Linked DNA regions of Macaca fascicularis. The protein of the gene in region 3 interacts with the protein of the main gene of each other region in a biochemical or structural test. Links are inferred from orthologs where the notes say so. Each region holds a gene or a part of one and is shown on either strand. Other genes may lie near its edges.

Evidence for each region.
Region 1: the proteins of AHR (region 3) and NR2F1 form a complex in vitro, tested with the Homo sapiens proteins (2 studies listed by BioGRID). The link is inferred for Macaca fascicularis from reciprocal best matches to the Homo sapiens genes AHR and NR2F1.
Region 2: the proteins of AHR (region 3) and NRIP1 form a complex in vitro, tested with the Homo sapiens proteins (2 studies listed by BioGRID). The link is inferred for Macaca fascicularis from reciprocal best matches to the Homo sapiens genes AHR and NRIP1.

The regions. Positions count from the first base shown.
Region 1 is NC_088380.1:97,584,113-97,588,313, reverse strand, and holds the start of NR2F1 (COUP transcription factor 1), read right to left. Parts: upstream 2,801-4,201; 5' UTR 992-2,800; coding exon 529-991; intron 1-528. UniProt on the Homo sapiens protein: Coup (chicken ovalbumin upstream promoter) transcription factor binds to the ovalbumin promoter and, in conjunction with another protein (S300-II) stimulates initiation of transcription. Binds to both direct repeats and palindromes of the 5'-AGGTCA-3' motif.
Region 2 is NC_088377.1:32,171,461-32,175,509, reverse strand, and holds the start of NRIP1 (nuclear receptor-interacting protein 1), read right to left. Parts: upstream 2,801-4,049; 5' UTR 2,620-2,800; intron 2,112-2,619; exon of another isoform or gene 2,044-2,111; intron 1-2,043. UniProt on the Homo sapiens protein: Modulates transcriptional activation by steroid receptors such as NR3C1, NR3C2 and ESR1. Also modulates transcriptional repression by nuclear hormone receptors.
Region 3 is NC_088377.1:112,862,289-112,865,788, reverse strand, and holds part of AHR (aryl hydrocarbon receptor), read left to right. Parts: intron 1-32; coding exon 33-142; intron 143-804; coding exon 805-946; intron 947-3,500. UniProt on the Homo sapiens protein: Ligand-activated transcription factor that enables cells to adapt to changing conditions by sensing compounds from the environment, diet, microbiome and cellular metabolism, and which plays important roles in development, immunity and cancer.

The DNA of each region.
Region 1 (4,201 bases), on a different chromosome or scaffold from region 3:
AAAGGATGATGGCAGCAATGAATCTATGGTTCAGGGTACTCCAACCCCAACCCTCCCCCATTTTAAATAAAGGGTATGAAGAGGTGGAGGGAAAAGTGTAATGAAAAAAACACAGAAACAGAGTTTTCTGGGGGAAATAAGCACCCCTCCCCAAGTTCATGCCAGCACAGCCCCAAGCAGCCTCACGCACACGCGGGAAAGAGACACACCGAGCACATCCAAGACAGAGGGAAGAAGGGGGATTTTAAGCCACAGCTCACGATCTCAGGGACACAATCCTGAGCAGGCAGCGGGCGGGGTGGGGGAGCCGGGGAGAGGAGCGCAGGCCGGGAGGGGGAGGCAGCGGCAGTGAGCTGGGGAGGGCGGGGGGAGACGCCGGGGGAGGAAGGCAGCGGGGAGAAGGGAAGCTGGGACAGGCCGGGACCACAGGAGCCCCAGCCCCACACAGCAACCACCCGGGCGAGAAAGAAAGAAAGAGCCAGGGAGGCGGGCGAAGCGCGGGGAGAGAAGCAGAGAAGAAATATTCACCTTCCCGCCTCATGCCCACTTTGAGGCACTTCTTGAGGCGGCAGTATTGGCACTGGTTGCGGTGGTGCTGGTCGATGGGACAGTTCCTGTTGGCACGGCATGTGTAAGTTAAGTTCCTGCGGACGCTCCTCTTGAAGAAACTTTTGCAGCCCTCGCAGGTGAATTGGCCGTAGTGCTTGCCGCTCGACTTGTCCCCGCACACCACGCACTCGATGTGCTGCTGGCTCTGGCCCGAACCGGGCGGGCCCTGGCCCTTGTCCCCCGCCGTGCCGGGGGTGGCGGGCGCTCCGGGCTGGCCCGGGGTCTGCGGCGTGTGCGGCGCGCCCGAGCCCGCCTGCTGCTGCTGCTCGCCGGCGCCGCCGCCGCCGCCGCGGGCCGCCTGCGCTGCGGGGTTGGGGCCGCCGGGGTTGCCCCCGGCCACGTCGTCCTGCGGATCTCGCCAGCTGCTAACTACCATTGCCATATCTTTGGGCCCGGGGAGCGCTGGGGGGAGCCGAGCTGCTCGCCGAGGGCCGCGGGGCGCGCCGGCGCGCTGGGAGGGGAAGGGGAAGGGGAAGGGGGGAGGGGGAGGGGGCGGGGGGCCCGCCGGGCGCCCCGGGGTCGCAGGAGCCGAGCCCGAGCTGGGCACCGGCCGCTGCCTCCGCCGCCGCCGCCGCTGCCGCCGCTACTGCCTCGGCCGCCCCGCTGCTGCTGCGCGCCCGCCCGCCCTGCTGGCGTTTTGTTGTGGTTCCTGCTGTTTTCTTTCTCTCTTTTTGCAGCCCCCCCAGGCTCTCAGGCTCCCCCCCCAACACCCCTGCTCCCCTCGCCCGCTCCCCCCGCGCTCCGTTCCTGGGGGGGCCGCGCTCTCCTTCCCCCCTCCCCACCCCCCGGCGAGCAAGCTCCCTTCTCTCGCTTTTTTCTTCTTCCCCAAGTTGCAAAATCAGAAATGGCACAGGCGGCAGCCGGGAGCGGCGCGGGGCGCAGCGCCGGGGGCGGCGGGCATGGGCCACGGCGCGCGCACAGACTCGCCCTCCGCCTCGCCCGCACCCCCGCGCACACACACACTCGCACACACACTCGCTCACCCGCGCCGGGCGCCCGCCCGCCCGCCCGCCGGCCGCTTGGGCTACGCGCAGCGCGCTGGCTGAGCCGACATAGAGGAAGCCGGCGAGGGCGGAGGCGGCGGCGGCGGCGGCGGAGGAGGAGGTCGCGGCTGCAGGCGCCGCTGGAGCTGCCGCCGGAGCTGCTGCGGCGAGCGCCGCTGGAGGAGCCCGGGCCCGGGCCGGAGTCCGAGCAGGAGTCGGGGCCGCAGCCGGAGCGCGAGCGGAGGCCGGGGCCGCCCGCGCCGCCGCCGCTGCTGTCCCGGCGGGAGCCCTCGCCGGGCTCGGGAGTGCAGGGAGCGCGGTGAGCCGAGCAGGGCGCTGGGCGAGGCTGCCGGCGGCGATCAGGGCGCGCGGGTGTCGGGGGGCCAGGTCCAGGGCCGGACGCAGCCAGCCATTCAGGAAGGCAGCGCTGGAGAGCGGGAGGCAGCCGGCGAGGAAGATCACACACTTTGCTCTTTTTGTTGTGCCGGTGGCGCCGGGCTCTAGCTGCCTTCTTCTTTCGGGAGGTGACGGAAGGGGGAAAAAAATACGGGATAATTCACGCCGGCGACGAATTCACAGCGAAATAGAAAAAATAAAAATCAGAAGAAAATAATTGCCAAAAAAAGGAAAAAGGAAAAGCGAGAGAGACATCCAAAGTAGGTCGAATAAATAATCCTCTTCTTTTCCTCTTTCTTGCTCCTTCTTCTGCTTCTTCTGCTATAACACACAGAGCTAGTTAAAAAAACCCTGGAGATCGCCCAAAAATGTTCTTTTTTTAGTATTTTAAATAAGTGCTCTTCAGCCGGGAACCAACACCCTCCCTCCAAAAAAAATCATATATGTATAAAATAACGATAAGAAGAATACGAAGGGGGTGCCTCCTCCTCCTCCTCCTCCTCCTTTTTTTTTCTTTAAGTTTAGCCCTCTCTCTTCTGCAGGAATGGAGTAAAAGAGACGAGGAGGGAGAAAAAGGAGAGAAAGAAGGAGAAGAAGGGGAAAACAACTAGTAGAATATGTAAGAAAAGAGAAAGGAGAGAGAAGAGAGGTTCAGAGAAGAGAGGAGAGAGAAGAGAGGAGGGAGAGAGAGGGGGGAGAAAGAGAGGAGAGAGAGAGAGAGACAGAGAGAGAGAGAGAGAGAGGAGAAGAGAGAGAGAGAGACCCAAAAATTGAATGCGTTTAAACGGGAGGACTCGCAGAGCAATGTTTCCGAAAGGGGGATCTGCGCGAATGTCTGTATATAGTGAACTTTGACACTACTATTGAAACTGACACGTTTCTATGGAGATCGCTGCCTTATATGGAGCTCGTGTCAAGGAGCCAAGAGAAGGGCTGCTGGCAACTGATAATCAAAGGCGACTGACTGGTCAGAGCCCTGAATCGGGGGGAGAGAAAATGGGAGGCTAAGGTTAGCCAAGCCTCCTGCACGCCATTGGTTGGAGAGCCCCTCCCCCCTCCTCTTCTGCTTTCTTTCTTTTTTTCCCCCCTCCCTCTTAGCTACCTACAGACTGGGATGGTGTGGGGAGGAGGAGAGAAAGTGAGGGAGGGGGGTGTGTTTCTGACAAGCGCAATTTACATTGAGATCGCCCTGCGCTGCTATTTACTCTGAGACCTGATTAGTATGGGTCGTCTATGGTCACACACACACACACACACACACACACACACACACACTTACGCATACACCCCAGAGGGGGAAGGGATGACGAGGGGGGGAGAACGCCTAGCGATGGGCAAAAGGAGAATTAGAAGGAAATTATTTTGATTTCTTCTGAAAAGTTTTTAAAATTAGATTTTATGAGCGTGAAGAGAGTGTCATTTAAAATGTTTAGAAAAAATTTTAACGGGAATGAAACCCCCACCATTTTAATGATTCGTGAAATATACTGGATTTGGATTGTTTTCTTCTCTCACATATAAGCACAATCCAAGTCTGGATTCTGCTCATTTTATATCCTTGTTATAAACAAGGTAGGATCTCCCTATTTTTTGATCCAAAGTATACCTGGGTTTAAAAGGTTTAATGACGACAAAGCACACTCCTGGAATTTGCGGCTATTGCCACAAATTCGATCGGAATCAAGGGTTCCTATTTATCCCAAAGACGATTTTAAAAATAAACTTTCCAATCAATCCAGTTTTTCCTTCTTCTTCTTCTTCTTTTTTTTTTTTTTAAATCACCTGGCTGTTCCAAACTCCAACAATGCTTCAATAATTATTAATAAAACAGTAGTAAGTCCCCATATTGTTGCGGGGTGGGGGGAGATTAGTGTGGCCAAATCAGTCCCGGGAAAAGAGCAAACAAACGAGAAGATGGAGAGGGGGGGAGGCGGAGAGGGAGAGAGAAAAGGGGGAGGGGGAGGGAGAGAGAGGAGACGAAAGGAGAGAGAGAGCGCGAGACATTGAGAGAGGAGAGAGAGAGGAGAGAGAGGGGAGAGAGAAGAGAGGAGAGAGAGAATGAGAGGGGACGGAGAGAGAGAGAGAGAGAGAGAGAAGAGAGAGAGAAGAGAGAGAGAGGAGAGAGAGGAGAGAGAGGAGAGAGAGGAGAGAGAGGAGAGAGAGGAGAGAGAGGAGAGAGAGAGAAAGAGAGACCGAGACCCCGATTCCCGAAG
Region 2 (4,049 bases), about 81 Mb from region 3:
ACTAATTGATTCTCCTTCTTTGTCTCTAGGAACTATGCCCAGGCAGAAAAAAAGTTACTATAGGCGATGAAGCCAGCGCTCCCCTGAACCAAATAAACCCTATCGACATTACCAAACTGCTGGGCAAAAGCAGAGCAATTCACTTACTTCGAAGGTGAAAACATTTCAACATACACCAGGCGGCAACCGACACTTACGGGCTAAGCAGATGAAACACCATTTGTTTAAAAAGTCTATTATCTCACTATCTCTTCCACAAAGGTGGAAAACTGATGATTAAACATTGAATAATGCCACCCACTTACTAAACCTATGATTCACTAATAAGCATTCAATGCAATTCATAACTTTAAAGAATGAATTACCGAAGCCCCTTGCTTCACAAATTTTCCCAAGAAACAGAAAGAGCATTGATCACCTATAATCCGACAACCATTTTTTACTACGGACACCTACAGATGGCTTCTCTTCCTCTAACGACACAATTTCCTTCACAATCCCACATGTAATCATTTACAATACCAGAGACAAACTCCACCTCAGTTCCACCGGCCGAGTTTTTAAAAATCCTTGTGCCTAAGAACGTCTTCTTTCCCCCAAAGTAAAATGTGCCATTAAAAAATATTTTTAAAAAGCAAAAGTGCTTATCATTCCGTACTTCTTTTACTACCTTCAGCAGCCAATTACTGACGTGATAAAAGGTAGAAACTCCTGGAATGCTTCAGAGATCAACATGTGTCACAGACTCCCAGCCTGTCCGCCTCTAAGACACAGTTGGTTCCTTTGTTCCTTCAGACTGAACACCAACTCCTGATTAAAATTGGGAAACTACTTTGGAAGGGATGTGAGGGTCTGCAGAATACGTCCACGAAAACCTTCATAAAACAATATGCAATAGTAGTAAGGTGGGGACAGCAGAAGGGAGAAAGGGCAGCCTCCCGGACTTCCACGGGGCTCACCCTAAATGGGGGCCGGCCCCTGGCTCCTGGTAAAATGATGGCTGAGGCCTCGGGTCCGTGAGCCACGCCATCCGGGGGGGACGGCGAGTGCGGGCAGAGCGGGCCTGGGGTCCGTTGGGGGCCGGGCGAGCTGTCCGTTTTCCTATTCACTTTCCCAGCCGGGTATCCAGCAAGCACGGAGCAGGCAGGCACCCAGGCGAAAGGCGCCGCCCAGGATCCGGCTGGACAGCAGGATCGAGAGCGGCGCAGCGAGCGGTGCCCGAGGTTCGCGACCAAGAGGGCAGGCGAGCGAGGGGCAACCCCGACCCGGCCCCCGAGCTCCAGTGTCCGACCCCGCGCAGGGGCCACGCGACGGCCGCCCCCTTGCCCAGAACTGGCACGGACGGGCGGGCCGACCCGGGGCCACTCCACAACTTGCCGGCCCGCCGCCCCGGCCCCCCGCGAGAACCCGGGGAGACTCGAACCAGGCAGCAGAGGCAGGATTTCCCCGGAAACGCGCCCTCCACGCCGCCCCGTGCGCGCCCGCGGCCGGCCGCGCTGCCCCCGCCGCCCCGACGCCCCCGCGGCCCTGCCCGCCAAGCCAGCGCCGACGCGGGCCGCGCTCCGGGGCCGTTTCCGGCGGCGCCGGCGGCCGCTACTCTGGGCGCCCTGGCCGCGGCCGTCACTCACCCCAGGCCGCCGCGGCTCCCAGCCTCCGGCTCCGTCAGGCTCGGTCCGCGAAGGCGCCTGCCGCCCCGTCCTGGCCCGGCACCCCGGCGAGCTCTTCCCTCCGACCAGCGGCGCTCCCGGCGCAGCGGCGGACGCGAGGCCACGGGCGGACGGGCGCGCGCGGGTGGCGGGCGGGCGTGGGGCCGGATCGTCCCTGCGCCTCGCCGCCGCCTCCTCCGCCGCCGCCTCCCGAGTTCGGGGCTCTGCTGCAATGTCTGCGAGGCTGACTTTGAGCGCCTCGCTCGCCGCCCGCCCGCCCGCAGCCGCGCTCCTCCCTCCGCCGCCGAGTCCGCCGCGGCCCAGTCCCTCCCCTCGCCGCCCCACGCCATTCAGCTCTTCAGCCAAGTTTCTTAACCCTTTTCTCCCCCTCCCTCCCATTGTCAGCCGGTCAGGAGGAAGCCGTGCGGGTCCGGGCCGCTCGCGGTAGCTGCGGAGCCCCCTATGGTTCGTGGATTTCCTCCTCGCCTGCTTTCCGGGTGGCTCAGACGGGGCTGCAGGGCCCGGAGGCAGCGAAAGGACCGCGTCCCCAAGAGAGGGGCTGCTCGGCGCGCCCTGGCCGTCCTCCGGGCTCCCAGCTCTGTCCAGCCGCCCGCGACCGCTGCAGGCGCCTGGACAGCTCCTCCTGGGAACCCGGGGAAGCGCTCTCGGGACCCAGGCCGAATGCTCCCGTTTGGGCAGAGCCTGGGGACCGGGGCACCCCAGACGCCCCAGGGTCCCCGCCTGGGTGCTGGCGCCTTAAAAGTCTACCTCCTCCCCTTCACCCCACAACACGCGCTCCCTGGGCCCCCTTTCACCCCCCACCCAATTTCTATCTCCTTGTAATCTGTGTGTCCTGCTTTAATCGTGGGGGGCGCGGGCGCGAACTCTGGGTCACTTTGACCCCACGCCCAGCACGTAGTAGGCACCCAGCCCTCATGTGGAGCGACTCCGGGAGGAAAACTAGGAAGGAGACCTGAGGAGCGCCCCGCTCAGCTCCCTGGACAGACGTAGGACCCAGGAGCAGGGTTAATCCTCGGCTGCTTTGTCACTGCGAAGTCTCCAGCGGAGTCTGTCAGCCAATCTACATCATCCCCGGGAACCAGACAAGGCAAAAGGAGCAGAGCTGCTACTTCTTCAGCAGCTCTCCTCGGTTCAGTCTCCGAATAAGAAATAACAATTACATCACGAGGCCGGGGCGGCAGCGCGGTGGAGCCTCTTGGTTTCCTGCAGCCTAATCTCGCTGAACCCGCCTCTAAATTGGGGGGGCTACAGACTGCTGAAACGAGAAAGTGGAGGGAGGAGAGAGTCATACGAAACCATAATTTCCCCTTATCCGTGTATTTGCTGTTTTAAAAATCGTATCCTCAGCGCTCCCCAAACATCTCCCTAGAACTATTAACACCCCCTCAACACCTCCCCAGATGTCAGGTTTCTTTTTGACTTGAGCATCCAGCATTTAGTAATTCGCCATGAAAAAAATTACCAGGGGAAACCAATGTTGTTGCTGAAATTGTTTTTGCTTGACACAAAAAAGCTAAAGTATAGCTTAGTCTCACCCGAAATTCTGAAATGGCATGACTGTGTTAAAACACTTATTACATAAGACAAATGAGCCGATGAGGCACTCCATTCTTACATGTAGGTTTTTATATCCTGAAGAATTTGATAGCATTTGAAAATGGAGTTGCTAATGCGCTTAAAAAACAACAACTATCCAAGTCATGAAACTGTATTCTATGCCTGTTATGTAATGGCTGTATTGTGTACTGCAAATTTCACTTAACCTTTAAAAATATGAATGAGAGTTTTAGAATACTGTCACAGTCTTGAAAGTGAAAGCAATTTTTCAAATTAATGCTTAATAAATTCAGCACCTAGCACAGTGCCGGGCACATGGTACCGATGTTTTCCTTAGTGACAATGGCACTTTTAAAAACAATTATTTTACATCACCCTACTGATTGAACTATGCAATCTGTTGCCATTTTAAAAAGTTAAACCTCATATAATACCATATTATTTGCATATACCACAATTCAAAATCTGCTGTAGGCAAATTAGTAAAGGCTGCTGTTTTTTAGTGCATCATTTATTCAGAATTGATACAAAGCAAACCGTTTCAATGATGACCAGCGTAATTGGAGCTTGGCCCCTTAGTGGGGGTCAAACTTTTTTTACGAAAATTATTTTTAACCATAATACAAAGATTTTTCTACAATGTATTGCAAATGTTTCTCTTAAGCGGTTTATTGAACATCATTTAGCATTTTCTTGACAATTCAGTGTCAATTTTATTAAAAGTAATTGTTGTAGTAGGTTGTAGTGGATTCAGGAAATATATCCAGTTCCTATTCTATATTCTTCCTAGGTGTTAGGGATTCTCCCAGGAGGTCCAAACGCTAT
Region 3 (3,500 bases):
ATTCTTATTTTACCTTTTTAAATTTTAAACAGAGGAAGAATTGTTTTAGGATATACTGAAGCAGAACTGTGCACGAGAGGATCAGGGTATCAGTTTATTCATGCTGCTGATATGCTTTATTGTGCTGAGTCCCATATCCGGAGTAAGTTGTAGTTCCTTATGAACATGTCAGAAAAAAACAGCATACACTGTAGTACATGTTTCAAATTCTTATGTAATATAACGTGTTTAAGTAAACTATATAGATAAACTTCTACTTAGTAACTTATCATCATGATTAACCAGGGTTACACTCTTTGTTCATTAACTTGTCTACACCTGCCTCATAGAAATATTGTTGTTTAGTTATTAAAAAATAACCATTTGGCCCATGAAGTTTTGCTTGGGAATTTTTAAATTACATTGTTATCAATTCATAAATATATGTTAATATTGTAACAATGATGTTAATAACTCTACTTTAAAATTATAAAGTATTAGCCTGTAGGAAAATATTCCCTATTTTAAAATAATTTTTTAATCTTTTTTGTCCCCAATTTATGCTCTCTCTCTACTTTCCTGTGTTACTAGAATTGTCTGGTACATAATCTTCCCTTTAACATTTAAAATAATAAATTTAGTCTGAAGTGGAAAAAAAACTCTGAAAAACCATTTCCATGCCTTTTTTTGTGTGTGTCTAAAATGTATCATCTTTGGGGATAAAGGAAATACATCCAGAACTATGTCACAAGAGCTTTGTTTTAGGAATATTCTTTAATATATTGATTTGGGGTTTGATAATTTAATTTTTTAATTTTATTTTAGTGATTAAGACTGGAGAAAGCGGCTTGATAGTTTTCCGGCTTCTTACAAAAAACAATCGATGGACGTGGGTCCAGTCTAATGCACGCCTGCTTTATAAAAATGGAAGACCAGATTATATCATTGCGACTCAGAGACCACTAACGTAAGCAAAAGAATGTTTCCTGTTTTTGTTAACAGTTTTGTTTTCATAAGTCCTCTTATGTGAAAGCATAAAAATAATTCAAGCAGAATTTAGTCTGTAAATAAAAACTGAAAAGTTTAAGTAATTTGTCTAGAAAGAAGAGCACAGGTGAGAGACATTGAGAAGACAGAATTGACAAATTTTATTGAGCAGCTACATGTGCAGAGCTATAGAAAGAATAGTAAAAGAAAACACTAGGGTTTTATCCTGGGCATATGAAGTACATATGAAAAGCTAGTGTCATTGGTAAAATAAAAGAAAAATATAACAATGCTTTATTTAGAATATGTTCTCTAAACCCAGCAGTGATTTCAAGAGTTTCTTACATATGTTACAAATGAGTCCTTTATCAAATATTTGTATTGCAAATGTTTCCTCCCACCCTGGAGAATTGATTTTTGTCTGTGGCTTGAGGTAAGGATTGATTCCCCCCAGCCCTTATATGTATACCCAATTGACCAGTCACATTGAAAAGGTGATTTACTGAGAAGGTCATCTTTTCCCCACTGCACTGTATTTTGATCAGGGGATTTTGTCTTTGGTTCTCTGTCTGGATTGTGTTGTTCTATTAATAGTTCCATTGGTGTAGTTGTCTATTTTGTCTAGCATTACACAGTCCTAGTTATTCTATCTTTATTATAAATTTCTATGTCTGAGTGTGTCTTTATTTTGTTTGTTTCGCCTTTTTTGTTGTTCTGCTTGTGAAGATTGCCTTGGTTCTTCTTTGCCCTTTATAATTCCATATACATTTTAGAAAACAGTTGTCTGAAAATCTGTTGAGATTTTGAGTGAGATTACTTTGAGACTGTAGATCATTTGGGGAGAATTAACATCTTTTTAATACTGAATCTTTGAACCCATGAACATGGTGAATGTATGTGTGTATATAAGTACCCATGGAAGTATATGAGTATGTGTGTACAGATGTATATGAGTGCGTGGGTATGTGTGTACCTCTACAAATTTGTCCTTCTCGCTTGATCAATGTTTCTAGAAGGCACCTTTTTTAAATTAGACTTTATTAGTCTTTATTAGAATCCAACTTTTGGTTTATTGATTTTTTTTCTATTTTATACACTTGTTTTCAGTTTTAATTTTGTCTGCTCATTATTATTTTCTTCCTTCTACTTTCTTTGGGTATAATTTACGATTTTATCCAACTTTTAAAAAATATATACTTAAACATATATATCAGTTTCCCTTTAAGTACAACTTTACAACCCTCATCTTTTGCTATCTTATTTTTATTTAATTGAAAATACTGGCTAATTTTCTTTTTATTTTATTTTTATTCACGAATTATTTAGAAATACAGTGTTACTGTACTTTTTGGTGTTTGGGGATTTTTCTACTTGCCTTTTTGTGATTGACTTAGTAACTTAGTTCCACTATAGTCAGAAAACGTTCTCTGAATGAATTTCAGTTTTTTTGAAATTTGTGGTGGCTTATTTTATGATCTAATACACGCTCTACATTGGTAAAATAACCCATGTAATCTTGTGAAGAATACATGTTCTGTCATTTGGGAGTATGTTGTTCTTTTTGTATATCAGAAGTCTAGTTTGTTAATTGTGTTCATATTTCTATACATTTGTTATTTTGTGTGCTTCTGTTACTAAGACATGTTGTTTTCATTTATTTATTACTAATAGGGGGCATCTTTTTACATCTTTCTAGGATATTTTTCTTTTATAAATTACATTTGTGTCATTTACCTGTTTTTCTGTTGAGTTGTTTGCCTCTCTCTTAGACACTATTGGAGCTCTTTATTATGGATATGAAATTATATATATATATGTTAAATTATAAATTATATATGTTACAAATATTTTATTTAAGAATTCTATTGCAAAAATACAAATACTTTAATATTAAATAACTTTCATATTACTAATTATGCCAATCTTTGTCTTTATAGCTTCTGGGTTTTATTAGAGAGGTTTGTTGTTTCAGATTCTTAAGTTTCTAATTCCTAATTTTTTTTATTTTGTTATGATTATTTTTTTGAGACAGGATCTTACTCTATCACCTAGGCTGGAATGCAGTGGCACAAATGTGGCTCACTGCAGCCTTAACCTCCCGGCTCAGGCAGTCCTCCTGCCTCAGCCTCCCGAGTAGATGAGACTGTAGGCATGTGCCACCACGCCTAGCTAATTTTTATTTTTTTGTAGAGGTGGGGGTCTCGCCATGTTTCCCAGGTTAGTCTCAAAATCCTGGGCTCGAGCAGTCCGCACACATCAGCCTCCCAAAGTGCTGTAATTACAGGCATGCACCACCGGGCCTGGCCCCTAAATTCTCGTAGTCTGTTTTTATGTGTAGAGCTTTATTCCACACAATTTTGTTTTTGTTTTTGTTTTTGCATGGTGTCAGGTAGGGTTGTAATGTGACCATGGAATTAACTAAGTTATTTTTAAAAAATTAAATCATTTAAATATGCTTGTCTGAAAAACAATTTTATAGCACCAGTCATGAGAATAATTGAGGTGAAAATAAAATATGCCCCCTTTTGAATTCA